4 linked regions of the Drosophila melanogaster genome follow. The protein of the gene in region 4 interacts with the protein of the main gene of each other region in a pairwise test. Each region holds a gene or a part of one and is shown on either strand. Other genes may lie near its edges.

Evidence for each region.
Region 1: the proteins of CG18508 (region 4) and CG8372 interact in a two-hybrid assay, tested with the Drosophila melanogaster proteins (one large-scale study listed by BioGRID).
Region 2: the proteins of CG18508 (region 4) and CG34268 interact in a two-hybrid assay, tested with the Drosophila melanogaster proteins (one large-scale study listed by BioGRID).
Region 3: the proteins of CG18508 (region 4) and Syngr interact in a two-hybrid assay, tested with the Drosophila melanogaster proteins (one large-scale study listed by BioGRID).

What each region holds. Positions count from the first base shown.
Region 1 is NT_033779.5:8,211,539-8,217,666, reverse strand, and holds CG8372 (uncharacterized protein), read left to right. Parts: upstream 1-4,764; 5' UTR 4,765-4,957; coding exon 4,958-5,548; 3' UTR 5,549-5,628; downstream 5,629-6,128. Other genes in the region: CG8292 (uncharacterized protein), read left to right, coding at 43-693; CG8349 (uncharacterized protein), read right to left, coding at 828-1,264, 1,324-1,681; CG8353 (uncharacterized protein), read right to left, coding at 2,553-2,995, 3,180-3,249; CG8360 (uncharacterized protein), read right to left, coding at 3,667-3,886, 4,138-4,330, 4,385-4,448; Ssb-c31a (single stranded-binding protein c31A), read right to left, coding at 5,833-6,108.
Region 2 is NT_037436.4:496,928-503,865, forward strand, and holds CG34268 (uncharacterized protein), read left to right. Parts: upstream 1-4,037; 5' UTR 4,038-4,097; coding exon 4,098-4,109; intron 4,110-4,172; coding exon 4,173-4,412; 3' UTR 4,413-4,473; downstream 4,474-6,938. Other genes in the region: CG34267 (uncharacterized protein), read right to left, coding at 3,150-3,371, 3,435-3,446.
Region 3 is NT_033778.4:13,838,854-13,849,881, reverse strand, and holds Syngr (synaptogyrin), read left to right. Parts: upstream 1-3,626; 5' UTR 3,627-4,087; coding exon 4,088-4,216; intron 4,217-5,665; coding exon 5,666-5,897; intron 5,898-5,968; coding exon 5,969-6,108; intron 6,109-6,170; coding exon 6,171-6,342; intron 6,343-6,545; coding exon 6,546-6,598; 3' UTR 6,599-8,121; downstream 8,122-11,028. Other genes in the region: CG30484 (uncharacterized protein), read right to left, coding at 237-370, 425-3,029; CG6357 (uncharacterized protein), read right to left, coding at 8,235-8,501, 8,565-8,849, 8,908-9,177, 9,238-9,507, 9,577-9,804; CtsL2 (cathepsin L2), read right to left, coding at 10,664-11,028. UniProt on the Drosophila melanogaster protein: Required for the correct formation of synaptic vesicles at nerve terminals and has a role in the regulation of the synaptic vesicle exo-endocytic cycle.
Region 4 is NC_004354.4:3,169,442-3,177,050, reverse strand, and holds CG18508 (uncharacterized protein), read left to right. Parts: upstream 1-3,910; 5' UTR 3,911-4,006; intron 4,007-4,063; 5' UTR 4,064-4,071; coding exon 4,072-4,371; 3' UTR 4,372-4,783; downstream 4,784-7,609. Other genes in the region: CG3939 (uncharacterized protein), read right to left, coding at 855-1,117, 1,393-1,537; Fcp3C (follicle cell protein 3C), read left to right, coding at 2,657-2,708, 2,773-3,383, 3,456-3,641; N (notch), read right to left, coding at 6,070-6,416, 6,492-6,947, 7,020-7,329, 7,424-7,609.

The sequences.
Region 1 (6,128 bases), on a different chromosome or scaffold from region 4:
AGATATGTTGCACCAAACTAAAACGTGACCATGATGTTCCAGTATAACGATCCCAACGCACTTAGAAATCCCTCGCTCAACATGAAAACACAGTATATGAAACCATTTGAGGAGGGTTCCCTTCGCTTTGTAAAGCGAAAGATGAAGCCCATTTCTAGTGTCAGTCATGAGTCGTATGTACTTAAGGAGCTGCCGGAGGAACAGGAAATATTGCCTGTAACAATGCCCACTCCGGTGGTAGCCACCAAGCTAGTCATCGACCGTTCGGAGGCGTCCTTTAGCAAGTACCTTGATCCCTCCTCCACCACATACAATCTGTCGTATGTGCGCTGGGGTCCCGAGGACTTGTGTGGCGGAGTAGCTGCCCACGACAATATTACATACTGGAATTGGACGGAGAAGATGCCGCCCATCCAGAAAGTGTCCCGCGAAGAGGATCCTACAATGTGTGACGAGGGTAATACGCATAATTGCCCAAAGCGACGCTGTGAGTTTCAAAACCTCACCAAACGAGTGCCGCATTCGGGAATGGTCACCGAGGTGCGCGCTAATTTCACGGATCCACAATTTCGAAGGGTTGAATTCGATCCAGAAGTTAAGCCCATACTCGTGCACGAGGAAGTCACTCCGTTTGCGGAGAAAAGCGAATACGGCATCTACGGATCGGGAGAACCAGTTATCAAATACGTTTAGTTCTCTACACATTGTTTTGACTTTTTGTCAAGTTAATCAGATCGCTAACTTAAATTATTTGCAATACTTATTGACATTAGAACGAATAATTTTATTGCATTAAATAAATTCTGGATATTATTTAGATGAAAATTTCATTCAAATGAGTTAAAGCTGTGGGGAAGCAGATGGTAGGCGGACGTGACCAGCACTTCAGCTTCGTCCGGAATTGAAGGAATGCAGTTCTCTTGCTCCGGCGGCGGAGCCTTGGCAATGTAGATAGGAATATCATTTTGGATGAACTCCAAAATGAACTGCCGGCAGACTCCGCAAGGTGTGGTAAACCCATCTGGGTGATAGGCTACCACAGCACCCGCCGTATACTTCTTCTCGCCCTCGCTGATACCCTTGGCCAGGGCACAACGCTCCGCACAATTGCCTGGAGTGAAAGCTACGTTCTCGATGTTGCAGCCCGCGTAGATCCTGCCGCACTTCGCACGGAAGGCTGCTCCCACTTTGAATTTGCTGTAGGGCGCATAGGCACATCGACGGGCAGAAAGAGCCGCCTCTAGCAGCTCCCGGCCATCCTCACCTGGAGATTACGGTTTGATTACCAATGGCAGAGGATTCACCATTATAGCCAAGCCTTACCAACAGCACAGAACGCTACTGTGTACTCCTCCAACATCTGTGGATGTGGCAGGTTTTCGGATTCACTAGCCCGACCCCTGTCGCCATTTAGACGCGCCTCCCTGCGTGCTAGCTCGCATAGAAATCCCTCCAAGGTCATCATATACTTTCCCAGTACCTTTCGAAGATTCTTCTGGCGCAAGTTCTTGATCTTACCGCCAGCGCACTTGGTGCCAGATTGCTCCTGGCGACGAGCTAGCTTCGCCTGCAACATTTCCAGTTCCTTCATCTTCTTCTCCAGCTCTTTTCGCTTCAGCTCATCCTGTAGGTCGCTCAGGTTCCGCATGTAGCGCTGAAGGAGCTTCCGCTTTTCGGACATTTTGCAGAACTTCAAATTTTTAAAACGAAAACAATTTTTGAAAGCCAGAAGCAAATGCTGTATCTGTTGGCAATTTGTAAAACACTAATGTCAAACAAATTATTTTCTTTTTGTTTCTTTTTCATAAAAATGATTATATTATATTATTTAGCGCCATTTGAATTTTTATTACATTTATTACAGTTGATGTTCATTAAGGCATTTAATGAAACAACAACAACAACTAAATACGTTTAAAATTTTTACAAATTAAGAATGTCGAAAAAGCTCGCGCGTTTTCGACGCGTTTCGGACGCGTTTTGAACGCGCCTTTATCGCGACATCGGTCTAGCCAGTCTGTCTTATTGTTCGTATGAACATCATGATCTCAAAAACTAGAATCCAAAGGAATTGGAAACAAACCTTATAAATTTGATTTAAAAGATTGCCACTACCACAATGATCTTTCTTATTTTCGCTACTATACAAATGGCGAAATTTAATCTCACAATAATTTGGTGTTTATGAATCAGAAGTTGAGTGCATTTATCACGTCATCACAAATCGGGGCATTCCCTGCATTGCGCTTAACGTCAGCAGTTGTCAATCCAAATTCGATATCTTTAATTTATAACCTTAATTTTGATATATAATCAAAAGCGATTAAACACCTTTTCCTAGAATCTTTCACTGTGTCAATCTTTCCAGCATTTATATCCCCATTTCCTATTCATTGATCGAAAAAAAAACATTAAACACTGCTAAGTAGTGTAATTTTCTTTATTGCAAGTGATTAGATCAAAATTATATTGATTAGAGGCAGCAAGGGGTTGAGAAACAACCTTTACCTAGCTACCTTCTGCCTATTTTCGGTTCTTGCCTGCAGTGGTCGTTACTTTCGATAGGTGTGAAAACTGCTCGGCAACAGATTAAAGATTGAGGTGCACATGACGGGATCGTCACTCTGCAAAAGTTCCTGCTTTTCAGCAATCCTCGCATCGATCGCCTGGGCCACATATATGGGTATATCCGCGTTGGCAAACTCGCGTATAAACTGACGACAAACGCCGCAAGGAGTGGTGAATACATTAGGTTCGTAGGCCAAAACAGCACCTGCCAAAAATTCGGTGGCTCCTTCGCTTACGGCCTTAGCAATGGCCGTTCTCTCGGCACAAGAGCCCGGCGTAAAGGCGGCGTTTTCCACATTGCAGCCAGTGAAGATCTTTCCATCGACCTTGGCCCGAAAAGCAGCCCCAACTTTGAAGCCACTATATGGAACGTATGCCCGCTGGCGCACTTGAAAAGCAGCTGTCAGAAGTTCTTGAACCGACGGATCTGGAAGTCGAAACAATGCACGCCACGCTCAAGAATTAAACTTAGATCTTGTCAATGAGTGTAAGGAGTATTAATTTATAACATTATTATTTTTAATATCATAAGAACCACTTTGAATAATTGACAGTCGTAGATATTTAAGGATTGTTCTCAGATTGTTCTCAATCTCGAGAAGGAATCTTACCCAGACTGCCGAAGGTCACAACCTCCTCATTCTTTTCTGGACGTGCGAAATTTTTTGTCAGATGTGTCATTATAGTTCAATTCTTTTGGTCAATAGAGGCACGCCTATTTTCTTAAATTTTGAATTATTTTTAGCAAGTTGAGTGCGTGTGTTTCTCCTTTGAACGTCCGATGGCAAATGGACGGTTTGTGGTGACGGCGGCGCCCGAAGTTGGCTATGCTGATAGCACTCTCCGCCGTGTAGTGGTGACAGAAATAAACATTTGGCCAATTCGGAGCGCGAGAGAGAACCAGGTATCAGGCTGATAAGCAACGATCGCGATCGCGGAGAGCAGTGAAAAACACAAACAGATGCCGTATCTCGTATAAGCTATTCAATCAACAAATAACGAGGGGTGGGTTTACAGAACATTATAAATGGGATGTCACATAAACTATTGCACATGGATTGCACCCTGTCCGGCTGGGCTGGGCTGGGATATTCTTTTCTATTTTCCGTTGGCGAAGCTAAAGCCGTTGGGCAGCAGTTGGAGAACGCTGGTGCAGAGCACCCTCAATGGAAGATTGGTCGGCTTGGCGGCGTACAGGGGGATGTCCTTGCCGTTGACGAACTCCGAGAGGAACTGCCGGCAGACGCCACAAGGCGTGGTGAAGCCATTATCCTGCTGGGCCACCACTGCACAAGCCACAAAGTCGCGTTTGCCTTCACTGTAAAAATGTGTTATTTTAGTTATTCGAAAGGACTTGGAGAGGATAATTAAGTATGTAAGAATTTAAGTAATAGTGTTGTCATTACAGATTAACATTCCTCATTGCTGTCAAGGGTTATCTCAATATATTGAAATCTAAGTTTTTAATCCAAGATAAGCTTTACTGTGACTAACGCTTTACTTTCAGTATTTCCTGTGGATAGATCTCAAGCGATGCGTATGTGACCCAGAGAATATTGACCCACTGACCTGATGGCCTTGACGGCTGCAGTGCGCTCTGCACAAATGCAGGTGGCATACGCCCCGTTTTCGATGTTGCAACCGGAGTATATGGTGCCATCGCTGGTCCTCAGGGCGGCTCCTACGGCAAAGTTACTGTACGGACAATAAGCCTGTTTTCTGGCTTCCGTGGCTGCCAGGATGATCTCTTGAATCGAAGGATCTGCAGAAAGGACCACAAATTATAGTGACATGGCAATGTTTCACGACTTCGTACCCAGGCTCTGGAATTCCCGTACATTGAGATCGTCTCTGGCACCATTGATAAACACCTGTGTCATGGCCAAGCGATTGTTAATGAATATTTCACAATAGAAGTAGCAGCTCAGCCAATAAACACAGCACCAGTTCTCACTTCCAACGCAATGGCAACTGCTGCAACAGCTGTTCGCTGCAGGGGCGTACACAGAAGTAAAGTTTATGGGGCTCTAACATTGCTGTTCCACAAATGTAGAAACATATTTCCAAATACATACCTAAATAAAAAAAAGAATTTGTCAACTTTGCGGAGTTGAAAATTTCGTGTGACTACGTTTGTACGTGGTCTCTGGATCCCCCTTTCAGACGCCTCTGCCATACAGCAATGCTTTCCAACACTGTCAATCTCCATGTCAATAAATACTGAGGTAGATGTGAGTGAACTGCGACTGCTTTATTTTCTCCTTATCGTACAATTAAAGCCCAATTGGAATTGTTAGCGACTCGTTTCATGGGCATTACGGCCGGGAAGACCGTGAGTGACTGTTCTTGTGGCTTCCCCGCACAAATATCAACCTAATACAGTGTAATAATGTCGACAAACCCAAGTCCGCAGCGGCAACAGTCCGAGGACGTTCAGATCTCGATGGCCAGTTCCGGAGGAGGAGCCGGCAATGGCGTTCCGGATAGACTGCCTCCGATCAACGTAAAGGACCAACGCTTCCCCTACTGCATCGTTTGGACTCCCATTCCGGTTCTCACCTGGCTGATGCCCATGATCGGACATATGGGCATTTGCACTTCGTCCGGTGTGATTCGTGACTTCGCCGGCCCCTACTTCGTATCAGAGGACAACATGGCCTTTGGAAGACCCACCCGGTACATAAGGTTGCACCCCAAGCACATGGTGGGCGGCAGTTACGCCTGGGACGAGGCGGTCTCCAAAGCATCTGTGCTCTACGGCACCCGCATCCACAATATCTTCTGTGACAACTGCCACTCGCATGTGGCAACGGCACTCATCTACATGCGCTACTACGACAGCACCGCATGGAACATGATTATCCTCAGCATGTGGCTCTTTGTCTGCGGCCGCTACGTCGGAATAGGGGGTTTTATTAAGACCTGGCTGCCGTTTGCCATTCTCCTGTCCATCTTCACCATTCTGGGCATCTATTTTTAATATTCATATCTATATCAAATGCTATCAATGTACAAATCTATGTACATATGACGTCCAATAAAGGATTCATTCATTTATGTATATGTGTGCTTTTTGTAGTCCCACCACAAAGCAGATAAGGAAAATACCTATCAGGCAATTAAGTTGGTCATTCATTAATGCTTCAGCAACTGTGAAAATACAGATTTTCAATTACTAGTGTTTAAGATAACGTTTATTCAGTGGATATGTCTATAGTTAGTACATATGGCTACGACTTAGTTTGGCATGTGGATGAACTTCAATTAATTCTCGATCGCGCGGGTGACTTCTTCGGCCACTTCAAGGAGTTTCTTCCATTGAATTAAAGATAGGGAGATGCCCTTCTTGCCGGGAAGAATTTGGCCGCCCTTATCGTAGAACTCTCGAATGTCCACCGATTTGCGACCGCGGAACTCGTTGATTCGCACCTGGCGAAGTCCTTCCAGGGTCCAAGATGTAGCACCATTTTCGCCCGAATCTTTTGGATCTGAATTTGGAGCATCAGATTCCTTCGCCTTCTTGCTTGCCGGCTTGATACGCTGAAAGAGGTTTTAACTTG
Region 2 (6,938 bases), on a different chromosome or scaffold from region 4:
CTTCCCATGTGGGCCCACCCACGCATCTCTCTTCAGCGGCACTTTGCATTAAGCCAAGTCGAGTGTTGAAGTCGACTCTTATTTTATTTGCAGCTGCGGCTGCGATCGGGATACAGCCGAATAACGGCAGATCCCCCCATTATGTTGAGCCACCCACTCAAGCCAGGTGGAGTGGAAAGGATGAAACTCCAGATCATAAAGGAACCGTGGAGGAGATCGTTGCGGAGAGCTGGCAACTTGAACTTGCCCCTGGCTGAGGATGGATGGGGATTGATTACAAGCGGATCACAGCGGATCAGGATAAATGAGGTAAACATCATTAGATTGAGGTGAAAACTGGTCTTCGATCTTTGTTTGCCATAATGACGAATTGCTATTCTTCGTGGTGGCGGAGAGGCACAGGAAGAAACGCTCGAAGATTAGAGTATCATTTGCATAAATCGATCCGATTGTCTTAGAGCCTCTTCGGATTTGCCTTAATGATGAGATAGTCATAGTGAAGATGGAAGGCAGAGAATAAAAGAAAAAGGCAAAGTCAAATTGCTAGTGACTTGAAATGGCCTCTTCTGGGAATATTTAAGACTTTCTCTATATTTGATTATAGAGCGTAATTAAAGATATTCGTTTACCTGTGATAAGTTTGTATTTATCTATACTGCCGATAAAAGAAATAAATTCATTGACTTTTAGATGATCAGAATTTTAACTGTCTTGTTTTAAATTGACAAAATACATACACACAGTTATTATAGTGTAATTTAAAATTGGCTTATTGTAGTTCACTATTTACAATTATAGCTTGACTCTTTCACTTGCATTTTCTCATCTAAGCAAAAGTGCACATCTCAAATATCCTTAGACCCTGGTAAGCCACTGACCCTCGCTGACGTTTAACGACTATTAACCCACGACAACCCTTAACACTTGGCACCTATCGCCCACCAAAATCCTCACTCTTCCGCCTTTCGAGACCACCGGCTTTGATTTCTCAGAAGCCCCACAACCACCGTTTTGCACATATTTCTACTTAGTGCAACAACTTTAAACGGCAACTTACCAAAGTAAAGCAAAACTCAGATGAGGAAAACTGGGGGAGCAGAAAAAAGGAAAACTTTTACCACAAATCGGATTTCCTGCATCGATTTGTGGTCTTCGCACGCGCCTCGAACTGAAAACTAATGCATAAAGTAGATCATAGAGCAACGACTGCCTTTTAAAAGATCTCATCTCTTCGAAACGAGAGCGACCAGAATCCCAGCTCGATATATAAGAATCAAAGACAACGCACAACACGAATGCCAGAGATATTTCCCAAGGAAATAGAAGAGATTCTTGTGCTGGCCCCGCTTTTCCAAGAAGCCATCCAAAGCCAGAAGAAGGAAACGTGTGCGAGGCTGACAAGTTTTTCCCTTATTTGCTATTTGTCGGCCGCGCCACAAGCATATGGATGACATCGACGTTAAGTCCAGTTTGCCAGGCCGGAGTGCTCTTAAAGACTTTGTGGAGAAAGATTGGAAAATCAATCACATATCTGACTGAGAGATGGGGAGGAAAATTCGCTCAGGTTTTGGCTTTAAGTTTTACTCAATGGAAGTAAAATAAGTGATGAATGCTATTGAACTTTTCAAAAACTTTAATAGTTAAAACAGGATCATGATCTCATCGAACTCGTTCATAGTCCTTCAACATCCATTAAAGTGCGAACTATTAAAGTCAAAAGCTGCCTGTAACTTATTCTATTTATGAGCCCATCTTAACTAGAGAGCCCTGTTATATTCAATGGTTACTGGGTGTGGAGAACAAGTTTCGCCCGAAGTCAACGCCTGATTCCAGCATTCCACCTCCTGACAACGTGCCAAAATAGCCCTGAAGGTTTCTATGGAAGGGCCCAACTCCAAACTAATTGCCTGGGCACGCCTTTAACTTCTTCACAAAATGGGGAAGGGGATCTCATCAAGCGCCAATGCATATTCATAGTCATAACGAGATTTGAGGTCTGCCATGTTCACACAATCTTCCTCTTCTCCGCCGACTTGAGACATAACTCATAACTGCACAATTACCTGATTATTTTAATTAGCCTAAAAATAAAATTAAAATAAAAAAGTTGAGCAAGTGCAGGAAAAAATTGAGGTGACAACACATAGGAAATGTCTAAATATACGAACAAACGCTGGCGATAGCATAAATCACCGGCGAGGGGAAACAGGGAAACTGTAACTGCAAACAAGTTAATGAATGTATCTGTGGGATACATCTGCATGGAGAGAAAGACTCGACAAATAGAGTTGGCCGAAAAGCAAAAGGCGGCTATAAAAAGCGTTAACAAGACAACAACAGCAATTGGCGAACAATAAAATACACTTAGCAGCCGAAGAAGAAGCGAATAACCACTAAATTGCTGTTAACAATTCTTGGAGTGCCCAGCCAAGCCAGTCAGCAAAGGCAAATACATTTTTCTGTCTGCCAAAAGTGGGTCAGCAAGAAAAGCCTCCCCCTTTCCATTTTATAGAAGTCTTCAATGCCAGCCGCAAGCGTTTTCATCAGCCAACTCTGCAAACGCAAACTCTTTCTCTCGCGTGTTAGTTAGATTTTAACTACCGTTTAAGAAGTATCGTACGGCTACTCTCAACTCTTCGCAACTGAACTCCACTCCGCTCCGCTCCTCTTGGCGTCCATTAATCACCTTCAGTCGGTGCAAAGAGTCAATTCACCAGCGAACAGCCTGCCAAATGTGTTCCACGCAACTGCTCAATCTCCGTATCTTTTGGGTGCCTGGAACGAGGCGCACATTTGGCTTTTATCACTCGATCCGCACCAAATAAACTACAAAGCCCCTAACGCGAAAACAGAGAAAAACGTATTTGTGTTCCAGATTTTGGCGCATTTACGGCTTGCGTAAAAATTTCCGATCGGACCAGACCGAAGAAAATTCTGTTGCAGCTCTTAATGGGTTGTTGGATACAAAAACTCGGCGGGACATGAGAAAATAATCCGCACACACTGCAAATACTGCGAATAAATCACAGAAGTTGTAAACTCATTTGAAGTGCATTTGATTTGAGACAAGTAAGTCAAATATGATTCCTTTTACAAGCATAAACATTTTATTTATTCCCGTGCGATATCGATTGAGCTCTTTCCAAAATTTAACCGTGGTAGATGTGGTGTCCATAGGTGGGAACAGCGTAGGACTTCAGCACAGGGACATGCTGAACCACTGGGACATTCTTCACCACCGGAACGTGCTGCACCACTGGAACAGATTTCACCACGGGCACCACTTGGGCTACAGGAACCACACCGTAGGAGGGCTCAATGTAACCAGGAGCAGCAAAAGCCATTGCTACCAGGGCGAAGATCACAGCGATCTAAGGAGATATTTTGTAATATGAAAAATCACAAGGATTTACTTTATAATTTCGTGAACTTACAATGCGGAACATTTTGGTATTTTCTTAGTAATTTACAAACTTGACTTGGAGATATTGTCACTTGGATGCTTGTAGGACGACTGGTGATGCTGACCAATGGATCAGTTACTTTATATAGCCAAAAATCACTTCAATAACAACTTCTAAATGGGCAAACGTGTTTGGCCATAATTCTTCTGTTTAATTGAGAGAATGGATTTATCAGTTGACCCAAAGGTGCCTCATATAGGTCTTTTTTTGTGGACATGACCTTGGTTCTTGGTGATCATCACAAACGCGTGAAGACGATCGATATAATGACAATGGTCTTGGAAGTAAACAATAATAAGCACACGGATCTAAAAACAGCAAACAATTGAGAAGTCATTGAATGGGGATTATGTCCAAAGGTTAAGCAATAACGACCGATAACGGGAAGTTCGCCGCTGGAGATGGTTTCATACCAAATAGAATGCGCATTATTCGAAGATACCAAATTTAAGATAATTAAACTGGTTTGGCGCGTGGCGTTCGAACAGAAGTCATTTGTGGGCTATTTTCGGCTGAGGTGCTAACTACTATATATAATGATTCCACGGATGGTCAATCAACAACAGTCGTCCGGCTAACACAAACGTTCGATAACCACAAGTTAAAGTTTTTAACTCACAACAAAATACCAAAATGTTCCGCATTGTAAGTTCACGAAATTATAAAGTAAATCCTTAGGATTTTTCATATTACAAAATATCTCCTTAGATCGCTGTAATCTTCGCCCTGGTAGCAATGGCTTTTGCTGCTCCTGGTTACATTGAGCCCTCCTACGGAGTGGTTCCTGTGGCCCAGGTGGTGCCCGTGGTGAAATCTGTTCCGGTGGTGAAGCATGTTCCAGTGGTGCAGCATGTTCCGGTGGTGAAAAATGTCCCAGTGGTTCAGCATGTCCCTGTGCTGAAGTCCTACGCTGTTCCCACCTATGGACACCACATCTACCATGGTTAAATTATTGTAGCACAACCCCATTAGAAATTGACCCGACATAAATAAATTGCCAACCAAATCGAACTTATCTTTATTTTCTGGTATAGAGCGAGGATAAACTTTTGGGTCATGCCATCGGGACTGGCTTAATTTTTATACTTACAATTAAATGATGCATGTTTTTTCCTACATCAAGGAAATAATTCTCGTAAAAATTACGTACCCAACACCCTTTCGTGGTCAGCACTTTCCATTTTACACATTTTATAGCAACTAAAGTTGTCCGCAGACCCCAGTGGTTTCCATGGCTGACTGATTATTTTATGGGACATTTTGTAAAATTTAATTTCACCTCGCTCATTTTGTTATTTGCGAATAGTCACACATAAAGTCGTTAACAAGGCGGCAAGCTTCCAGGGGAAATTTCTTCATTAATCAGCGGAATAAAGTGACGCCTCTAAACTGCAGCTGCATCTTCTCCACCTCCCCCCCTCCCACCACCCCTTACCCGACAGACGTTGCCATTAAAACCCAATCCCAGCTCGTCTTTAATTTGAGCCAATTAAAGTGGCGACAAAGCAAAGCCTTACAGCCCGCTTCAAACACTCTGAGCCAGCCGCCTTTCCCTTTGGCTTTTTCCCCGGTTGCGGTTCGATCTCGTGTCGATGATGAACCTGAATGGATCGTACATTAATTTTTCATTGTTTTTTATTTGGGGCTTTATTCGGGTTATTAAATCGCTGGCTAGAAAAACTCTCAAGCGATTTGGTAAAACAAAAAAAAAAAATAACATCGAAATAAGCAGACAAAAATATAAAAATAAATTGTGTTCGAAAGTCAATTTTGTGAACAGGCTTTTTGGGCCTTTTTTGTGGCAGGTTTTGTTTTTTCTATTGCCAAAAGATTTATTGTTAGCGTTTTCTTCTTAATTTTCCCCACATTTCATTTCGGTTTCGATTTTCAGTTTCAGCTTTGTTTTTCAGCCTGCTGCTACCATTCAGGTTCCACTTCCTTTTCAGTTTAAAGTAAATTTCTCGGCCAGAGTTGGGCAATTTTATTACTCTATTAGGGGGAAAAAATAGTAATTTGCTGCTCGATTATGACGAAATCATTTGATCCGCTTCACATGTGACGTCGTCTTTTTGTTGGGCCTGTCTCTCCTTTTGTGTGGTTTCTTTTTTGTCTGTGGTAATGACTTCATCGTCGCCCAGCTACCCAATCCTATCCTATCCGCAGCTCATTTGATAAATTATCCAACAGTTTGTAATAATATTTTTCGTAGCCGCTCAGGGGGAGTTGCCTTCGATGCTTTTGTTTTCATTTTGTTAATTATCCGCTATAATTGTTAATTTAAATTATGAAGGAAAGTGAAACTCAATTGAACTTGAGAGACCCCCCCCCCCCCCCCTTCAGTCCATCTCTATCTCGTGTGTTATTCTCTTGTGGATTTGGGCGTGTTTCCGATCGATGAAGCAGAGAAATGTTTTTCGATCGTATTGGATTTGGAGTTAGATTCGCCCCAGTCAGCCGTTTTAGCCGTATTAACAAATTGTTTGTTTCAATGTTTCGATAATAGTGTAATCAAGTTACAAATAGCGTAGCTCTTTTTAGTGCAATTTCAAACACTCGTAGCTGCTTTTAGTACCTCGCGACCTTTAATCAACACCTCAACTGCTAAATGACTGCACGTGACTGCACATTACAATTCAGTTAGGCTCAAGTTCAACTGAACTACGCCAAATAAAATGGAAAGTTTATTTAAAGGTTCATTTAACGCGAAAGTTGAACTATAACCGAACCGAACTGGGCAGCAGTCGTAACTGAATTTTAAGTGGTCTTGCACTTAAACTACTTGAACTACTCTCCGACTGGGCTAATTCGGTGGTAAATGTTTTATTGCCGCCCAGCAACTGCAGCTGGCCACTTGGGCCGCATCCGAGTCGAAATTGGAGTCCAGACTGAAGCTGGAGCTGGAGCTGCAGCTAACTTATTGGGCGAAAGGTTACAGTCAGCAATTGTTATGCAAATCTGGCGGAGGGAGATTGCCGCGAACACAATGGACACCCATTCGATAGAATCGGACAAGCGGCCAGCCAGTCCAGGCCAGGCCAGCGGACCAAATCGCAATTCGAAAATCCCCATTCCGAATCCTATCGAGGCGAAACATTCAAACATGAAATTATGACTGCCATAAAGTGGAGCACTTCCTCGACTCCCGCACACAAATCGGAATTGTCAATGCGATTATATGGTCGCAGCGCTTAGCTAATCGCGCGGCCAGACTCCAAATTGCACCACCTTCACTTTTCCTGCGGCTTTTCCAGGGAAGCCACGGCAACCAGGGAAAACAAACTCATTCCCCCCGCTTTATCATGCTGCCTGCTGCTTGTCTTGACCATTTTCGGAGGCCCAAGTTTTGCGGAAAACAAAGACATCCTGTCGTTTCAGGCGACAGGGAACATGAGTGCTTACACCTCGGTTGACCAGAACAGCGAATGCCTAAAACACTTTGCTTGCCCATTAGTTAGTCCATCAGTTCATGTGCTT
Region 3 (11,028 bases), on a different chromosome or scaffold from region 4:
GGGAATTTTGTTGTATTAAAACTGAAAAATTAGAAAACTAGGCTAGTTTAACATAGGTTGGTGGATCGATCCATAAATATGTCATTTATTATATTAAAACATTATCATATGGTTAACAAATTAAAATTATTCCTAGAATTAAGAATTAATCAAAGGACTATCATAAGATAAACAGATCTTATGACTTTCCAATGATTAATTTTTGCTTCTAAGATAACCATATAGTATCATTTAATTTAGCAAATCTTAGGGTAGTTCATATTCCGATCCCTTTGCCTTTTCTGTAATTCAAGATAATATGAACGGAGTTCCAATCGACGCCTTTGGGCCATTGCTTTCTGCATAAAGTTTGTTTCTCGTTGATTTTTGTCTAAAAGGAGATTAACTATTTGTTAGGATAGAGATACAAGATTGACTAACTTACCCTCCAAAAGCAATTTGCATAGATAGCAATCACATTTTTTCCTTTCACTTAGACGACAGACTTTAGCATCTGGAGGCGATTTCTTCATTTCCGATTGATAAGTATCCATTTGGTCCCTCCAGATTTTGTCCGAATATAGACGTACTCTAACGGGTTTCCGCGGATGCATTTCCGGCGACATCTTATCCGCGGAAATCTTGGGTACAAGTTCTTCGTGTGGTGCCAATATTCTAATCAATGAGGGGTACTTTCTTTGCGGTTTACCTTTATCCACCGCCTGGAATCCTTTAGTCGGTTGCATATTACGGAGTCTGACTATATTTTCCGTCACAAAATCGCGTGGTTTCTTTTTGGGTCGAAAGTCTTCGCGAATGGCAACCTCCTTCATCAGTTTATCGATCCGTGCCTGCACAGATGGTCTTGCGTTGGCGTAGAAAGACTCCCGAATCTGTTCCCGCATATGCAAATCCATGACAGCTTGACTCTCGCGAGTTTTGACCTCCTGGCTCGTCCTCCTCAGGGACAGGATGCTCACGAGATTATCATGTGGTCCCAAGGCATATTCATGCATCCGGGACTTGTTCTTGGTCCGCATCGACTGGGATTTTTTATGGATTTTCTCATGGACTTTCTCTTCCTTTGCCACACCGGCTATAATGTCGTTAATTGTCTTTTTTATGCCATCAACTGGATCGTAGTCCTCTGGAAAAGTCGCGAACAAGTGTGCGTCCGCATCCGCATGCGGTTCGTCCTTGTTGTGCTCTTTCTGCCGCTTAGGTATCAAAGATTGGGCAATGGCCACAGTGCTGATTATCGATCCTACAGATGGTTGGTACCTATCCGATGACGTCTGACTGGGAGTTCTGCCATAGTAAGTGCTTTTCTCGCTTTTCAAATAGGAAATGGGATTCTTCGAGTTCATCTGGTTTAATACTTTCCGATCTGCCATTGAATCCTTTATGTAGTAATAGAATTTCTTGAGCTGAATCTTCCGTCCAGGAGTGGGGGCAAAGCGTTTCCTCAAAGAACAAGTTGATCCGAAAGAGAACTCACTTGATGTACGAGATCGGTTTGTGCTCTGAGGCTGGGACGTGGACTTTCTATTTTTGGTCTTTGCAGCCAATGGAATTGTATCCGAATTTTTTGAATCTCCCGCTTCCTTGGCCACAGAATATTTCCCAAAAGCTTGCAAAATTTCTGGCTTTGTTATAACAGATATTTGGTGATAGGGCCGCATAACTTTGGTCTTTTTCGGTTTTAGTACTTTCTCAGATGACTGCGAAACTACAGGCTCCTCGACTATTGGTAGATTCTCATAAAGCGAAGTGGACATTATGGGGTCCTGGTCCATCCAGAACGAATTACTTGTGCTTTTTCCGACACGATTTATTCGAAAATGGCTGGTTAAAGCCCGGTTCAGCTCTGGTATGATCTTTTCCTTGCCACTTAGCATTTGTCCAAATGGTTTGGAGTGATTTTGGTTCTTATTATTGACTTTCATATGTCTGTAGGTTTTGCTATCATGGAGTCCATTACTTGGCTCTAGATCTTTATCTGTCTTAGACTTTCCTGTGCTTTCCTTCTTGTCTTTTTTGGAATTCAATAAAGTCCTGCTTCTTAGGAAAGGATGATCTTCGGGCATCTTCATATCGCCGTCATTTAATAGCTCATCAAAGGTCCTTGTTTCAGTCCTCCGCCTGTCCTTTGGCTTATCTTTGGATGCCCAGGAAAACTTGGAGGAATGTCCAAGGCGATTAGATGACTTTAGAATTGGATGAAACTCAGAAATTTTGTTAGCCTTACCCTCGAGCATTTTATCAAAAGTCTCGGTGTACGGAGCTGAAGTTTTTCTCCGGTCTGAAGTACGACGTTCTTCGGGAATTTTCAATTCGTGCATACTCCTCAGTGTCGTATGTTTTTTGGATACCTCTCGATTTACCTTTCCTAGCAAAGAGCTATAGGGTTTTGAACTGATTTTAGACTCATTGTCCTGCTTAGTCATCCGGTAAATGCCCAGGGATGTGTCCACTTCCATTGTTCTCCTTAGATTGTTCTTGGATACCCTTTGTTTGGAAAATTGGTTAAACAGGGCTTGCTCTGAATTTTCAGAAAATGGCTTGGGCTTTTTCGTTTCTACAGTTGCTTCAAGTTTCTGGGGCTCGAAAGCGTTACGAAAATGATCATCATTCCTCTTTTCAAAACGATAGGTTGGTCGAGTATTTTGAGTTTTCTTTAAGTCAATTTTTTGCTGAAATTTGTCCACACCTTCCCGTTTATTGTTTCGATTAATAGTGTCATACTTTTTTGAATCCTGACCTCTTACGTTGTCTTTAAGCTTTCTTCCATGTTCCTCGTGCCGTTTAGGAATTTTATTTGAGATTGTAGGTTTTTGGGCATCGTGTTTATCATACTTAAAAGATGTGCTTTCAGATAATGTAAATTGAAGGGAGGGTCGTGAAAAGTGAATCTTGCGGCTCACCGATGCTTGTGGTCTTTTAGCTATTGATATCGACACTGCATATGGGTTAATTGTTTCACCTTCCATTTTAGCAGGATTTCTTCTGTTCTTTTGTTTTCCCGGTACATGATTTTCTTTGTCTTCCATTTCAGATGAAAAATTTGTATTTCCTATCAAAGCACTATCTTCCTTATTCTTACAATGAATTGAATTTCGTTTCTTGCTATTACAGCAAATTTCGTAGATCTCTTTATCGTTGAGTTGTGGCACCTTTGGTCCATTATAAAACAATATATCTTGGGAGCTCTGCTGTTTAAAATGAAATAAGGAACAGATTAGGAAGTTGTCAAACGAGTATTTATAATTTGTGTTTTATCATATTTTATTGTTTTTGAAATGCTTGATTACCAACATCACGTACCTGAAATTTAGCTAGACTCCCAGAAATGTTCCTATTTAGCGCACAAAAATTTTTTATCTTTTGATGTATCTGCTTGTACGGATTTGACAGGCAGTTGCACCAGCAGATGTTCGTCTTGTGAAACGCAGCCATTGAATGAGTTCCAAACGCAAGAATTCTTACAACAATGAATTTATGGTGCTTCCCCCACAATCGAAAGTTCCAATTTGAATTAAAACTCAATGATGGTCACACTGGCCGCGCTTAACAGCACGCTGTAGCTGAACAGCCTAACAGTGCCTCAAGATAAGGCGCTTAGATTCTTCCAGCTCTGAGATACTTTTTATTTGGCAAGAGTCCTGCGCGCTGGCAGTCGAAATTGCGTTGAGAGCGAAGCTGGCAAAAAGTAAAAGTGAAAATCAGGCCCTTGAAATTTGTTCATCAATTATGCATTGATTGAAACACGAGCGAGTGCTGTGAATTGTCTTGTTGTGTGCGCGCATAACGGAAAGTGAATTTGAAAAGCGAGTGTGCAAACACACAAGCATTGCGTACAAAGATTGTCATTCCGTTCCGTAATCCATAATTGCGTGAAGACACTCGAGCGCACCCACCCACACCACGCACGGTATATTGTATATACACATATACACACACACAGCAGTGGGCCAGCCGCCCCCACATTGCCCTTGGCCCCACGGACCCAAGAAGCGTTCGATTTTTCACAACAGCCAGCGAAAACGCCAAGCGGAGAGCGCCCCAATAGCAAGCAGTGCAATCCGGACATCAGAGACCCATCATCACCATGGACATGCTCAACCAGATACTCAGCATCAATAACGGTGGCGCCTACGGGGGCGGCAAGGCTGGCGGCGCCTTCGACCCCCTCACGTTCGCCATGAAGCCCCAAGTAGTCATCAGGGCCTTGTGCTGGGTGAGTTCGGGTTCGGACAAGCTGCGTCCGGGGAATCGCTGGGATTTGTGGACGCACACGCCACTCACATGACCCGATTGTCACACTGTTTACACCGCGCATAATTCATGAAGTAATGCGAGGGCAGAGTTCTTCTAGGACCTTTTACATAGGATCTTAACATTGCTTAGCTTTTCGTTTAAATATACATGTTCTTAAATTCATACATATTGCGTAAGCCAACTCCGTGCTGCTATAATGCCTTCTAAAGGCTTAAAATATTGTGATCCAAATATTAAAGGAATTTTCTTTAATTTATTTACAAACCCTTAAGTTTAAAAAATTAATAATTTAGAATGACAAGAATATATTGCCTTTTAAAAATATATCTAGCTTATCTAGTTTTTCTTAATTCAAACTGAATGAAAATATAAAAACACGTTTAAGATCCCTCTTTTCCCAATGCTTTTAATAAAATTAGGTTTTTATAAATATTGCTTTTAAATTGCGACCATAAAAGTGACCTTTATGTGCCATTCCGATTAAATGGCTAGCTCGTAAATGTGGCAGAAAACGTGCGTAATTTGAGAATCTAAGTAAATCGTGAATGTTGCCACATAAACGCAGTGGCACTCAAAGGTCCGATTTGTTTACACCCGCTGCAGAGGGGCGCAGCGAGGATATAGTGGGAGTGCTCTGGTGTTCAGCTGCAGAGGGACTATAAAAACTCTCACGTCCATGAAAGCTTTATAATTAAATGTGGTAAGGTGCCCGGGCAATTGGCCACTAGGCTTAGGACTTCATTCTGCCATCGACTGGATGTGCGTCAGCAGGGAAGTGGGAAAACGGTATAACCGAGGGGGCGTTTAGCTCACCGCCTGTTTGCGATGGTATACGTAATATGTGCCCACGCTGTTGACCAAGGACTCTGCGATTGCAGAGCCATTCCCGCTCTTTTCTTCCTGGCCAAACAAACCAAACTTGGCCTTCATTCCGCAAATTGGGTCACAAACATAAGTACGTGTCTGCCGCGTTGTCTGTGTACTTGAACTTCTGGTTTGTTGCACCTGCTCAAGAAAATCAATAATGGAGTGCGAGTTCTATATCAGCATAAGAAAATGATGATGTGAAAATCAAAATCCGAAAGTTGGATTAAAAACCTAAGTAAGAGCTTAGCCAGCAGAAAGTGTTAGTAAACTCGAACCTACAATCACGTAAAAAGGATGTTCACAAGCTTTGATGTTCATACTTTTATAACAACGTTCTGGTACTTTCATTCACAACACACAAAAGTGATTGAAATTAAACTGAAACGATAAAATTAAAATTTTTAAAACAGGTCAGCTTTATAGTTGATTTAATGGCACTTTGAGTCATTTTCAGCTCTTCAACATTTCTGTGTGCATACAAAAGGACCATTAAATGTTAATAGGCGCCCTCATTCATTGGGAATTCTCTTGATTTTTCCAGCTCTTCTCGGTGGTGGTCTTTGGCTGCATATCCTCGGAGGGTTGGACGGAGAAGGATGGCAAGGAGTACTGCCTCTATAATGGCGACGGCATGGCCTGCAAGTATGGCAACATGGTGGGCGTCTTCGGGTTCCTGGCCTCCATGGGTTTCATGGGTGGCGAGTTCCTGTTCGAACGGATGTCGTCGGTGAAGAGCAGAAAGCGTTATGTCATGGCCGACATGGGTTTCTCGGGTAAGTAGTTCTGGCCAAATATGCATATATTCCTCTGACAGCACATAACTAATGGCAATCCATCGTCGCAGCCCTCTGGACATTCATGTACTTCGTGGCCTTCTTGTACTTGTGGTCGCAATGGAGCTCATCCGCCCCACCGCCGCTGGGAATCGGAGCTGGCAGCATGAAGACCGCCATTTGGTTCTGCCTCTTCTCGATTGTCAGCTGGGTTAGTAGATTTCTGCATATTTGGTTGGAGAAGTTTCCTGATTTTTGGGCTTCTTTCTGCAGGCTCTGTGCGCCCTGATGGCTTACAAGCGTTTCCTGATCGGCGCCGGCGATGAGTTCACCTCTGCCTTCGAAACGGATCCCGCCAACGTGGTCCACCAGCAGGCCTACGGCTACTCCATGGACAACGACAACGACCAGTACAGCGCCTCACCATTTGGCCAGCCCCAGCAGGGTAAGTTCATGGTCTAATACAATGCCAAAGTATAAGTTGGGATATAAGATGGGATATAAACTTGCCATTCCTAGATCATTATGTACAATATATTGAAAGTACCTAATCATTCTTAGTTCTTAACTGATGTTAACCATTATAATATGTAATCTGATGATTCTCCCACACTTGGCACCTGATTAATCTGAGTTTTTCTCCCGCAGGTGGCATGGAGCAGCAACAATCCGGAATGGAGTACCAGCAGCCCACCTATTAAGGAATTACCACACTTGCTCCTCCGTTGTCCGCACACACTCACTTCGATTTTGTAGTGCAACTGGCAAGGATTTACACGACTAAACAGCTACAACACACAAGTTGGCTTTAACCATATACACCGATGTCGAACATATAACAAGAGTAACCAAAACAATAACACTTGATGCAACAAGCAGGCAGCAAAAGCAGCTGAAACCAATCCAAGCACTGGCTTTAGCTATTGGAAGAGTCAAGGGATATATCCAAACCGATCCGATCCGATATGAGATCGGATGGGATGAGATGGGATGGTTCGGATAAGGAGTAGTTTGAATAACTCGTAAGCTAGCCCTTTAAGTTGAGTGTGCAGTTTTTTGTAGTGGAAATTTGTTGCAATATATATATATATATATATATATATATATATTATACAGATATACAACTAGTTATATATCCCATATGTATACATGCAGACCGCGCTTTCAACGTTGTTAGTTATTTAGTGTTTACGTGTACGTACCATTTGAATTGATTTGAATTGATTTGTTTTGGTGCCAGACCCTGGTCCCCCCGATGATCAGCTTGTTAGCAATGGCAATAGCTCGAGACAGAGGAAAACATGATGTTTTTTTAGATAAATTTACACACGTGCAGTGCAAATAGTTGATGCAAATAGTTGATGCGATTCGGCCACCTGAAGGACATACATATGTACGAACCACACTGCTCAAGCCACATATCCAATTTACCATCTGAGATTTACCCAACAAATATAGAACCTGTGGCCAGGGTCGATGCTTGGTTAGATGAGCAGCAAATGCAACCACTTACAATAAACGCCAAACAATATGTAAATTCTAAACCATAAGAGATTCAATAACCGTAGAATTGTTGTGAGGGATTCAGTACTCGGGAGATTACTGCAGGAATATTTCTAGTTATGGTTCGCAAAAACACGCTGAAGATATGAAATGGTATAGGGCTTGTTCAAGGCTTACTGTTGCCACCCCCTTCCTACCAAAAGATTTGTATAGTAACTATAAATGCCCCAACAATACCCATTATGCATTGTAAAGAAGCGGTGTGTTGTCCACTTCGATGTACTCAGATATCAATGAATGTAAACATATTGATTACATAAAAACGTTCACTTAGTGCAGCAACTTGCGATAACCTACAAATGTATTTGTTAAATTAAATACTATATACATATATATTATATATATTTACGGATTGTATGTGTAATACGAATAATGCGCCCTGTTAAATGCAACAAGGAGATAGGGATCTCAGCAAATATACAAGTATAAATTAATCATTTAGAGTTCGTGTGCGTTATAAAACAAAAAGGTAGTGAAAGAAACATAAAACAAAATTTACTCATTTAAAACTTAATGATCGATTTAAATAGCGAACCCAGCCATAAAATCGGCTTGAACATTTGCGAAACACTATTGTAATAGATAAACTCCTCAAGCAAGATTCTCAACTGGACAGCCCCTCAAGAAATAATAATAAATACATATTTTTAAAAATTAACCCAAAATCACTAAGGTATTCTCTTTGCGTTAGTAGCAATATTTTTGCGTGTATTTAAAAGGTGACAAACATTTCATCTGAAAATGTACTCGGTACAATATCTTATCATCTAGTTTTTAAAAAACATTTTTTTTGTATTTCTTCTCCTTGCTTATTTTTGTAGTCGTTTCTTCTTTTGAAAACTCTGGAGCTAAATTAGGTCGTTGTTTGGTTTTCCACTCTTCTACAGTTAGATCACTCCACTGATTTATGCCCTTCTTGAAAGATTCCACTCCCAATTCGAACTGCTCATTGTGTTCCTGAATCGCTTTCCAATTGTCGCAAAATATAGTTCGGCGTTTTTCTGTTTCTTTTTCATCTTGATATTTCGCACCGAAATCAATCTGTAATAAAGATATATTCATTCAAATTCTCAAATTCTATTTACATTGCAAGCCAAATATTACCAAAAACTTTTTCCATGCTGCCTGACATGTATTATCATCCCTCTTATCCTTAGATATTTTTGTAGTAGCTTCAACTTTAGAAAACTCTGGATTAAAAGCAGGTCGTTGTTTGTTTTTCCACTCCTCAACGGTCAAATCACTCCACTGATTTATACCCTTCTTAAAAGAAATATTTCCCAAATCGAATTGAACATTGTGCTTATGTATCGACTTAAAGTTGTCGCAAAATACATTTCGTCGCTTTTCGGTTTCAGTATCATCTTGATAAGACGGCTTAAAGTCAATCTGCAATTGATAAAAGCAACTTTAATAAAAATTCTTTAAATACCCAACCATATCTTACCAGGAACTTCTCCCAAGCCGGCTGGCATATGATATTATCATTATCTATTTCGGATGTAGATGTAGTGGCTTCTTCCTTACGAATCTCGGGAGCAGGACTAGATCGTTCCTCAATAGTATGATCAGTCCACTGATTTATGTCCCTCTTGAAGGGCTCTGCCCACTTTTCATACTGCACATTGTGCTCCACAATCGCCCTCCAGTTTGCACAAAATACATTGCGGCGTTTCTCGGTTTCATTTGCATTCTTATACTGCGCTCCAAAGTCAATCTGTAATTCATATCATACATATTAATACCAAGTTGGTTTTAATAACCTAGCTAATCTTACCAAAAACTTTTCCCATGCAGCCTGGCAATTGACTTTGTCTCGCTCCTCCTTTGATGATTCACTAGCGATTTCTGGCATAACTTTGGGAGTTTGTTTCTCTTTCCACTCTTCAAAGGTAAGATCACTCCACTGGTTGATACCCTTCTTGAAGCTGACAACTCCCAAATCGTATTTCAAATTGTGATCGCGAACTTTTTGCCAATTTTCGCAGAATATATCACGTCGCTTTTGCCGTTCGTAGTCATTATCGTAGTGTACATCAAAGTCGACCTTGGAGTGTATACAAATAACTTCCTTGAACGATACCCTTTCTTGGAATTATGCGATCAAAAAACTTACCAAGAACCTTTGCCATGCAAACTGGCATTCCTCCTCGAACTCAGATAAGCCAGAGGTGTGTTCAATTGTGGGTGTCGATGAGTCAGCGTCGCTTTTCCCAGTAGTAACCCCAATCTCTGGATTGATTTTTTGTGTAGCAGGTGATGATGTGCTTACTGGTACGCCCAGAGCCACGCCCATCAAATACAGGAGCAGTGGGACGCCAAGTAAAATTCGAGCTGAGGTCATCTTGAACACTTTTCTCGTACTGCGCTCCGCACTGCCAGAATCGCGAATTATATGGGGAATACATACATATATAATTGCAAGTACTCAAAATCAGCTGCATTCAGAGAGAAATCTAAATAAAAACCGACAACGAGAGCGATTTCTTTTGCTCTCTTTTCTCTTAAGTGTTGATCTTTTAAAAGAGTAACTGCATTTACGTGACCTTGCCCACCAAATATATAACAACTGGCATAATTGCTTTATGATTTGTTGCAATAGTATTGAATTAAATTAATTTGAAATTTAAGCCCCGTTTTTATACCCATTACTCGGCGGGAATACTAGGCTCGTTGATAGGAATGTAACAACTACATTCTAGATATGTATGTGTTTTCCACACAAATGCTGTAAACAAACGTTACGCTGCTTGCAGCTTTTTCTGATTAACGGGTATGCATTAGTCGTGACACCCGACTGTAGCGTTATTTCTTGTTTATATTAAATTTGTCGCAAATTTACACGGTTATACGGTTATGTGTGCATTGTTCATTTTCTATCCACTTTGCCAAATTGAAATTTATTACTTTCTCAAACAACTTCCCACACAGCGTTGTTCTTCATTAAGAAAATGTTTCTCAAAAAATAAATAAGACCGAAAATTAATTTTTGTGTGCATAGCCGTTAAGACTACGATCCAATTTCTCAGAATTTCCCCAGAAAGCAACACAAACCGATAAGGCACTTGTTTCATTTATTAACCGCGTGACTCATGGAATCGATGTGGTGACCCACACAGCTTACGACTACAGTAACAAAGTTATAAATTCGTGGTTTTTAATTGACTATACTATCTAACTAATTGCATGGCGCAGTTGTGAGCCTACAGAATGGGGTAGCTGCACTCGCTGGCGATGCCGCAGAATCCACCTGCATTCCGGAGGATGCGCATAAAGCCGCCCTCGCCCCAATTCTGAGAGTACGAGTTCTTGATGATCCAGTAGTCGCGTCCATTTTCCGTTCCATAGCCCACCACGGTTACCGAGTGATTCAGTTCGCCCTGATTGCACTCCTCGTCCTCGTAGATGCCACCGCTGTACTGCTCAAACGAAATGGTGTCCGCGTTCATGGAGCACGCCAACGGTCCCAACGTGGCAATCACCTCCTTCATCTTCTCCTCATCCCCGGGAGTAATGGTGGCATAATCGCGAATTTTCACCAGACTCTCGCGCGGTGGACGTCCGGCGG
Region 4 (7,609 bases):
GCTAAATATTGAACGTATTACTTTTTAAAACATTTGATCAATTTATACATTTACCTTTAGTTTAGTTTTGATGTTACTTTACTTACGAAACCTTTTATTATTCTATTATTAAATATATATTTTTTTTTATTTTCAAACAGTTAAAGCAAAACGCAACAGGATTTACCGTTGCAAGCCCATTCTTAATTTATAACCATTCACTTTTAGGCAGGATCTATCATGTTTTTTTATCCATTGTTTATGTTCAGCATGTTTACAGTTAATCAGCTTGCAAAACTGTGCGGTCGTGTGCTTCAAATTCAATGATACTCTGCGCTTTTCCGCTATGTTTAGCTACATATATACATATCTTACTTTGCATTTACCTATGTATTTCTTGAGAACTGTTTCGGGTTTTGTGTTTTGTTAGGCTTTTTGATTCGAACACTTGCAAAAAATAAAACAAAACTTAAATCGCGGCATTAGCGCGTGCGAGCGAGATGGCGCGTTGGCACGCGTGTTTACCGTTGGACGCGTGTGCCGCTATTACCGTTATAGCCCCGTTTTCGATTCCTTTTTCAGCCGCGCTCTGCCAAACGATTCGTCCTGGTCGACGACATGCGTGCAAATAAACGAGTAAATGCCGAGCGACGCGCTGCCAGCCAGAAATGCTCCACTCATTCTGTTCTCCCCCATTTCTCCATTCCCCCCTTTTTTAGCACCACCCCTCCCAACGACAATTTCACTCGTTCTTTCCACCGAGTTGAGCGCAAAGCAGCAAAGAGAAAGAGAGCCGCAGCGAGAGAGAGAGAGAGAGAGTGATAGAGAGAGAGACTGAGAGTGGGAGTGAGTTTAAGCCAAAGCCAAATCGCGTTTTATTGGGCGACAAAATTGGACTTCTTCGGATCGGTCTCCTCGAAAAAGAGCTCCAGAAGACTCGACTTGAGCAGCTGATCCCCATCCAGGCGCTCCACGCCCTTCCAGCGTATAAGGGTCGGTATGCCTTCCACCGAGTATGGCGGCTTTCGGAACATGTTGTCCTTGCCTATCCAGGATTCCCGGCTACCCACGTCCACCACCAGGATCATGCAATCCGCCGGCGCGTGGTTGCGAAAGGCACTCATGATAGTTTCCTCGGCTGGAAAATATCAGCGATAATGGGATTAACTTAATGTATGTCACTTCTTTATGTTATGTTATAACTCTGCGATGAAATGAATCGAAATGATGAGGACAATGTACAATGTAGATGGAACTCTCAATGGAGAGCGAAAATCAAATCAAAAGTAACTCAAGTTAGCTGGGTAGAAAGTAACTAACTGAAACCCACAAATGAGAAGCGTGATAAGCAGAATGTAGAGTGCCCAACTGGACTAGTAACGCCCCGCTGGGCGAGGAGAATTCGTCACCTACCCGCCACGCAGTCCGGACACCAGCTGCGTCCGTCCTTGTCTTTCTCGCCGTAGAAGTAGATGTAGATGGGGCTGCGCTGGTTCTCGTACAGCTTGATCAGATTTTCCATCTCCTTGAAGCCCCGTGCCGGCACATATTCGGGCATTTTGGCAGTGTATGGGATTTCTGGATTAAAAAAAACTTGGACGTCTTGAACGGCGAGTTGGCTGGTGTACAAGTAAATTCCGATTGCGGCGATTTCGATGCGGATGGCAAACCCAAAATTTAATTCCAATCTTATCTGGATCTTATCGCTGGGTGTTACGGATCACTTAGCCGTTGCTTATCGGCCATCGGTAAGTTTATCGGGTAATTAATGGCGTATAATTTTGTTGTTTGCTGTGTTTTTCGATCTGTTTTGTTTTCTTTTTTTTTTTTTTTGCGGCAAGCTCCAGCAACTAGTATATTCACCACACTGCCTGTCCAGCGAACCCACCACAGCCGGCTGTGTGTGCGTGCTGTTGGGCGCACCGTGGTGAGTACGGCACTGTTAACCGTTTATCGAAACTCGAATTTTGTACTTAAATCATTTGAAGCAACGATAATTTTGACATTTTTATGGCATAAATCTATAGGATTGTTGAGTTTAACAAATAACAAACATTTAAAACTTCGTTCAAGATACATATCGATAATCTGTATTTATATTTCAAATGTTGGCCGCCCAATATTGATTGGTATTTCTGTTAAGTTCCATAAACAGCGCAAAAAATACTAACTTAACGAAAAACAAACCAAAAAATGAAAATTAAATTAAATCTATAATTAGATTAAAAACCAAAGCTTTGCTTATGTTGAAATGTTTGTTAATATTACCATATTATAACTTGTATAATTTGGATAATAATTGCTGTTTAATCGGCCGTTTATTTATGTTATCCATTATGTTATTATAATCATAACAGTTTCATTGCAGTTTGGCGGGATATTTAAAAAGATTTTGGAAAGTAGTTTAGAACGGTAAGGTAAACTTTGTGCAGCTCAAGACACAACTTTTGGGTTTATTGATTACGCATAATTTTCGGAAGTAATTCTTTTTCTTTCTTCTCACTTTCCTCCAAATGAATGAATTCCACTCGCTTTGTGTGAAAATTCTGCTTAATCAGACTTAACCCTGACACAATTTTGCCGGTTCTCACAACTTGAACTTCGTTGGGGGCCGACTAAAATGGAAGACCGAAATCTTGAAAAACTGCAAGCCAAGTAAGAAAATGGCTTATATAAAATGGATGGCGCAAAGGCAGAAGTATTCAGTGTTTCCGTAGATACCAAGATGGGTAAGCTTTGAAAGTAATATTAGCTAAAGAACACATTTCATATCGTATATATTTCATATATCAGGCGCCTTTAAAAATTCCCTGCTGCTGCTGACACTTCTGCTAGCCATCCATTTGGAGGCATCCAAGATAGTCTACAAGAAGCCGCTCTATGGCAATAGCAACATCATCAAGGACAAGCGTATAAAGACGAAGCCCGTCAAACTGGAAACCAGCACCATGAGCAGCACTGGTGTTGCAAGTAGCAGCACAACAGCCGAAGAGGATTGGCCCACGGCCGTTGAGTTTGTGATTATGACAACGCCCGCAAGCGAATTGGAAGCCAGCACGGAAACCATTGGTAACAATGGCACCACCGAAACGACCGTTGGCGAGGCACCCATCATCGGATCGTCGGAAGGATCCACACGATCGATGGAGCCAACCACCGCGAGTCCGCTGATGAGCACAAACCCATCGAGCAGCAGCAGTCTGGTTAGCACCATTCCCTTGCCACCGACAGCGGGACTGCCTGTGCAGGATAATCAGCCAGTGCCGTGCACATGCGGCGTCTTCCTCTCCTCGCAAATCCCAAATGGCTTGCCGACAAAGCCACTTATCCACCAGGAATTGGATCATATGTTTCCCTGCAATGCCATCGGTCGCAAGCAGTGTCAAACCAAATGCCTAGAGACGGTGAGTACTGGGGAAACGAGGAGGAAAAGATGAGGAGAAGCGCTCTATAACTCACCATTTCGTCCATTTTAGATCGTACAACATCTGCCGAATTCCGCAAATATAGTATGCTCCGCACTGGGTCACGATTGTCACAAGGAACGGGCCTATTTGTTCATCAAGAACTGTCACAATCAATGGGTTAATACCAATCTGCAGGCGGGCAGGGAGTACTGTTGTCGCTCTGGCGTTCCCTACCGTTGCCCATTGATGGGTTAAGCACTGTGCAAATGAAATAAATATATGATATGACAAAATTTCAACTGTATTGTAAATGCGCATGGTGTTAAAAAATCTAAAAAAAAAAGCAAAAAAAAAGCTAAGGTGTGCACATAAGGGTTAATAGATTTCAAACGGTTTGGTTCGAGTCCGGACTATATTAGTCCAACCGGTTGCGTTCTTTGCTAGAGAGTACGTATTTTTTTTTTTTAAGATAACAGTATATGCGTGGCGTTTTTAGGCTCAATACCAAACACAAGTGAACTGGCTACACTGACATTTTTGACAATAAATAAATAGTTGAATTAAGGAAATCAAAGCGAGAAATACTTTTTTTCCGGAGCCAGTAAGCTAACATTAAATAGGTACGTTCCGCAATTGTTGTAATCACTTGCAACGCCAATAACTAACCATTTTTAAAGCCCGAACAATGGTTTGCGTGCCCTGTATTATCATTCCACTGCTTCTGTACATTTGGCACAAATTTGTGCAGCCGATCCTGTTGCGCTACTGGAATCCCTGGGAGAAGAAGGACGACGATGGCAATGTGATCAAAAAGGGACCCGACTTCCCATTCGAGTGCAAGGGCGGCGTTTGCCCCTTCGTTCCGGGCGGCAAGAAGACGGAGAACGTCAGTGATGACGATGCCGAGGAATCTGAAAATCCGCCATTGAATGCAACAGCAATGGCAGCGGAAACGGAAGTGGACGAGTCCAAGAAGGAGATCTAGTCGAAATGTTCCAAATATTGTAATTTAACACATAGTACATTTTTTTTTTTTTGTTATGTTTTGACATAAGAGCGGAAAACACAACGCACACAACACAAGGACACAAATCCAACGTGGTGGGCGGCGATCGTTTGGTAAAGGAGGGGGAGGGGGCGTGGCCCTTGAAGAGCGGCAAGAACGTCTAAAGTATAATTAACTTGCAATTAAATGTACACTTTGACACGCGAAAAAACTGCTCTTTTCCTGCGGGTTTGTGTGTGTGTGTGTCAAGAGTTAAAGGTTAAAGGTTAACTCCACGCAGTTCCAATATGAAATATGGTATTTAAACTTTGTTCCAGCTGCAACAACGCAGAGCTGAAAAATTCGCCTTTATATGTTGTATATGTATATAATTAATGAAATAAACACACGGCTTTTAAAATAATTATTTAATATTTATTATTTATGTCAAAAAGTTTGCAGTTTCGTTTTGCTGTCTGGCTGTTTAAGTTAGGAAAACAAATAATTTTACAATTTACACATTAAAAACTTACACACAAAATATAGACGAAAGAAAGCAATACCGTTCAAATTAAAATTAATGCAAATCGAACGAGAAAATTCGTATTTTGCAGTTTTCTCTAAGTGTGTGCGTTTTTTTTCTTTCTGTTGCATATTTTTTGAAAATATCTTTTCATCAACTTAGATCGTAGATCGTCGAGTGTCCTTATATATATAGTAAACTTGGCTGGTTACTGTCTTTTTCGTGGTTTTTTCCTTTTTTTTCTTCTTTTCTTTCTTTCTTTCAATTAGACTTATACGTTTCCATTGGTGATTTTTGTGTAATTTTTTTTGCAAATCCTTTTGTATTTTGTATGTGTCAACTTAAATCAAACAGTTATGAGAATCTTTTTACAGTTTAGCTTAGTCAATATGTAATAATACATAATAGTCATAATAATAATAATAATAATAAAAAAAAAAAACTTGGTGTAAAAAAAAAGGTTCGATGCGGTGTACGGTCTAACAATTTTGTTTATATAAGCACTTCAGTTTCAAAACCTACAGAACTACGAAATTTATGTATTTATATATAGCATGTGGGGCCATAATTAATAATGTAGAATTCGATAAAAAAAACTTAGCGTAGTCTTATGGCCTAGTGATATAATGGTCACTTACAACTACAAATTGTCCCACAAACGTTTAATCGATCCAATCAGAATTTGCGCTAAGTTTAGTTGCTCATCTTTTTATGTTGATTCTTTTGTTTTTTGTTTTTTTTTTTACTGGAAGCTACGATGACGTTACGACAATAAAATAAAATGCGCCACAAGACGAGCTCTTAACTGGTATATCTATGAGTAGATATACATATATCTATATCAATATCTATATATATATATATATATGCGATCGGCGCGCACTGTACAACAAGCATTAAATAAAATTTAAGTTACTACAATTTATGACGCTTCTTCCGCTAGAATTGCGTATTTCGCACTAACATCTAAAACTTATAGACACACTCAAAAAAAAAAAAAAAGAGTCGTTGGAAAAAATACATAATCCGTAGAGATTAGAGAATTACAATATATAGCATATTTTAGATCGAACTTAGCCGCGGACTCTTTAAGAGTCCCCTTTTGCTGTTATCCTTGGCAAGCCATCCAATTATCCTTGCGCGATATTCAACATACCAAATCATCCAGATCACGGTCAAATGTAGATGGCCTCGGAACCCTTGTTAGCCTGATGGCCACCGGATATGTAAAGATTATTTGCCGCCGGCGACTGAACGCCCTCGCTCCAATCGGAATTCGATCGCGGCGACGAGGAGGACCAGTGGCCAGGTGACTCCGGCGAGGGCGTCGGATAGCTATCCAACGTTTGGACCAAATGCTGCGGCGTATGGCCGCCGGAATGTTGGCTCGAAGGCGTTAGGTACTGGTAGAAGGCCTGCTGATTGTGCTGCGACGACGGCGACAACATATTGGTCGACGGCGATGAGCCGGACATTGAACTTTGTATCGAGGGCGGATTCATTTGACCCGAGTGAAATGAGTCTGCAAGTTGGGATGGTAGAATGATTAGTTAGCTAGTTAGCTAGTCCATAGAGTCCATCATGAGTGACCACTTACCCGGAGATCCACAAAATCCATTCAGGTCCAAGCCCGCTGAACCGAACTCCAGGCCTCCGAGTTGCTGCTGCTGTTGCTGCTGCTGCTGTTGCTGCTGCTGTTGCTGCTGCTGATGTTGCTGCTGTTGCTGTTGCTGCTGCTGCTGCTGTTGCTGGGGTGATATCGTTTGCATTATTGCACTATTCTTCGAGGATTGGGGCGGGGCGAGCATGATGCCCATATCGCTGCCCGTCGGCGAGATGATTCCCAAGCTTACGGGTGAGTTTTGTGGCCCCTGGCCAACACCACCACCACCACCTCCTCCTCCGCCGACCACGCCCCCGCCATTGGCACCGCCCAGCAAACTATTCAGATTACTGCCACCGAATTGCTTCTGCTGTGTGGCATGCCTCATCGCCTGAATGTGGGTGGGCGAGGTGGGTAGACTGGGTCGCGACTTGGCCGGCGATGGCGAGCCTGTAACAAGTAAATGGAAATAGATTAATACATAAAAACCCATTTGTAATACTTCGTAGACTTGAAACTCACCCAAGTAGGCGTGGGGCGATAGCGCCAGGCTGCTCTGCACCGAATGCGGCGGCGACTGATTCGAGTACGGCGGACTCAGTCCCTGTTCGTGGCTATTTCCATTGCCGGCTCCACTCAGACCGCCCATTCCGCATAGGCCGCCGGGCAGAACGCCGGGACCGACTCCATTTCGCTGGCCATTACCATTCATCCCGAGTCCTTGGCCATTGAGCAGCTCCTGCTGAAATGGCGAGCCCATCGAGTAGGCATAATTATCCAGCTTGATCATATCCAGACCATTGCCCTGCAGCGATTGCATCGATTGCGCATTCTGCAATTGTAATATGAGTGCATTTAGTGAACCACCCAATCCCACTTCCACTTCCACTTCCATCGTCACTCATCTCACAGTCGACTCCACTTACCTTGATGCAATCCTCATAGCTCGGCGGCTGCTTGGCGCCCGTGTTCGGATTGCCGTTCGCCAGCGGTGCGGCCATCGCATTCGAGTACATCGAACTGGTGTCGTACGGACTGGGCAGATTCCCGCCCATGCCCACGCCCACCGGCGAACCCTCCAGTTCGTGGGACATGGCCGCCACGGCTGCCGC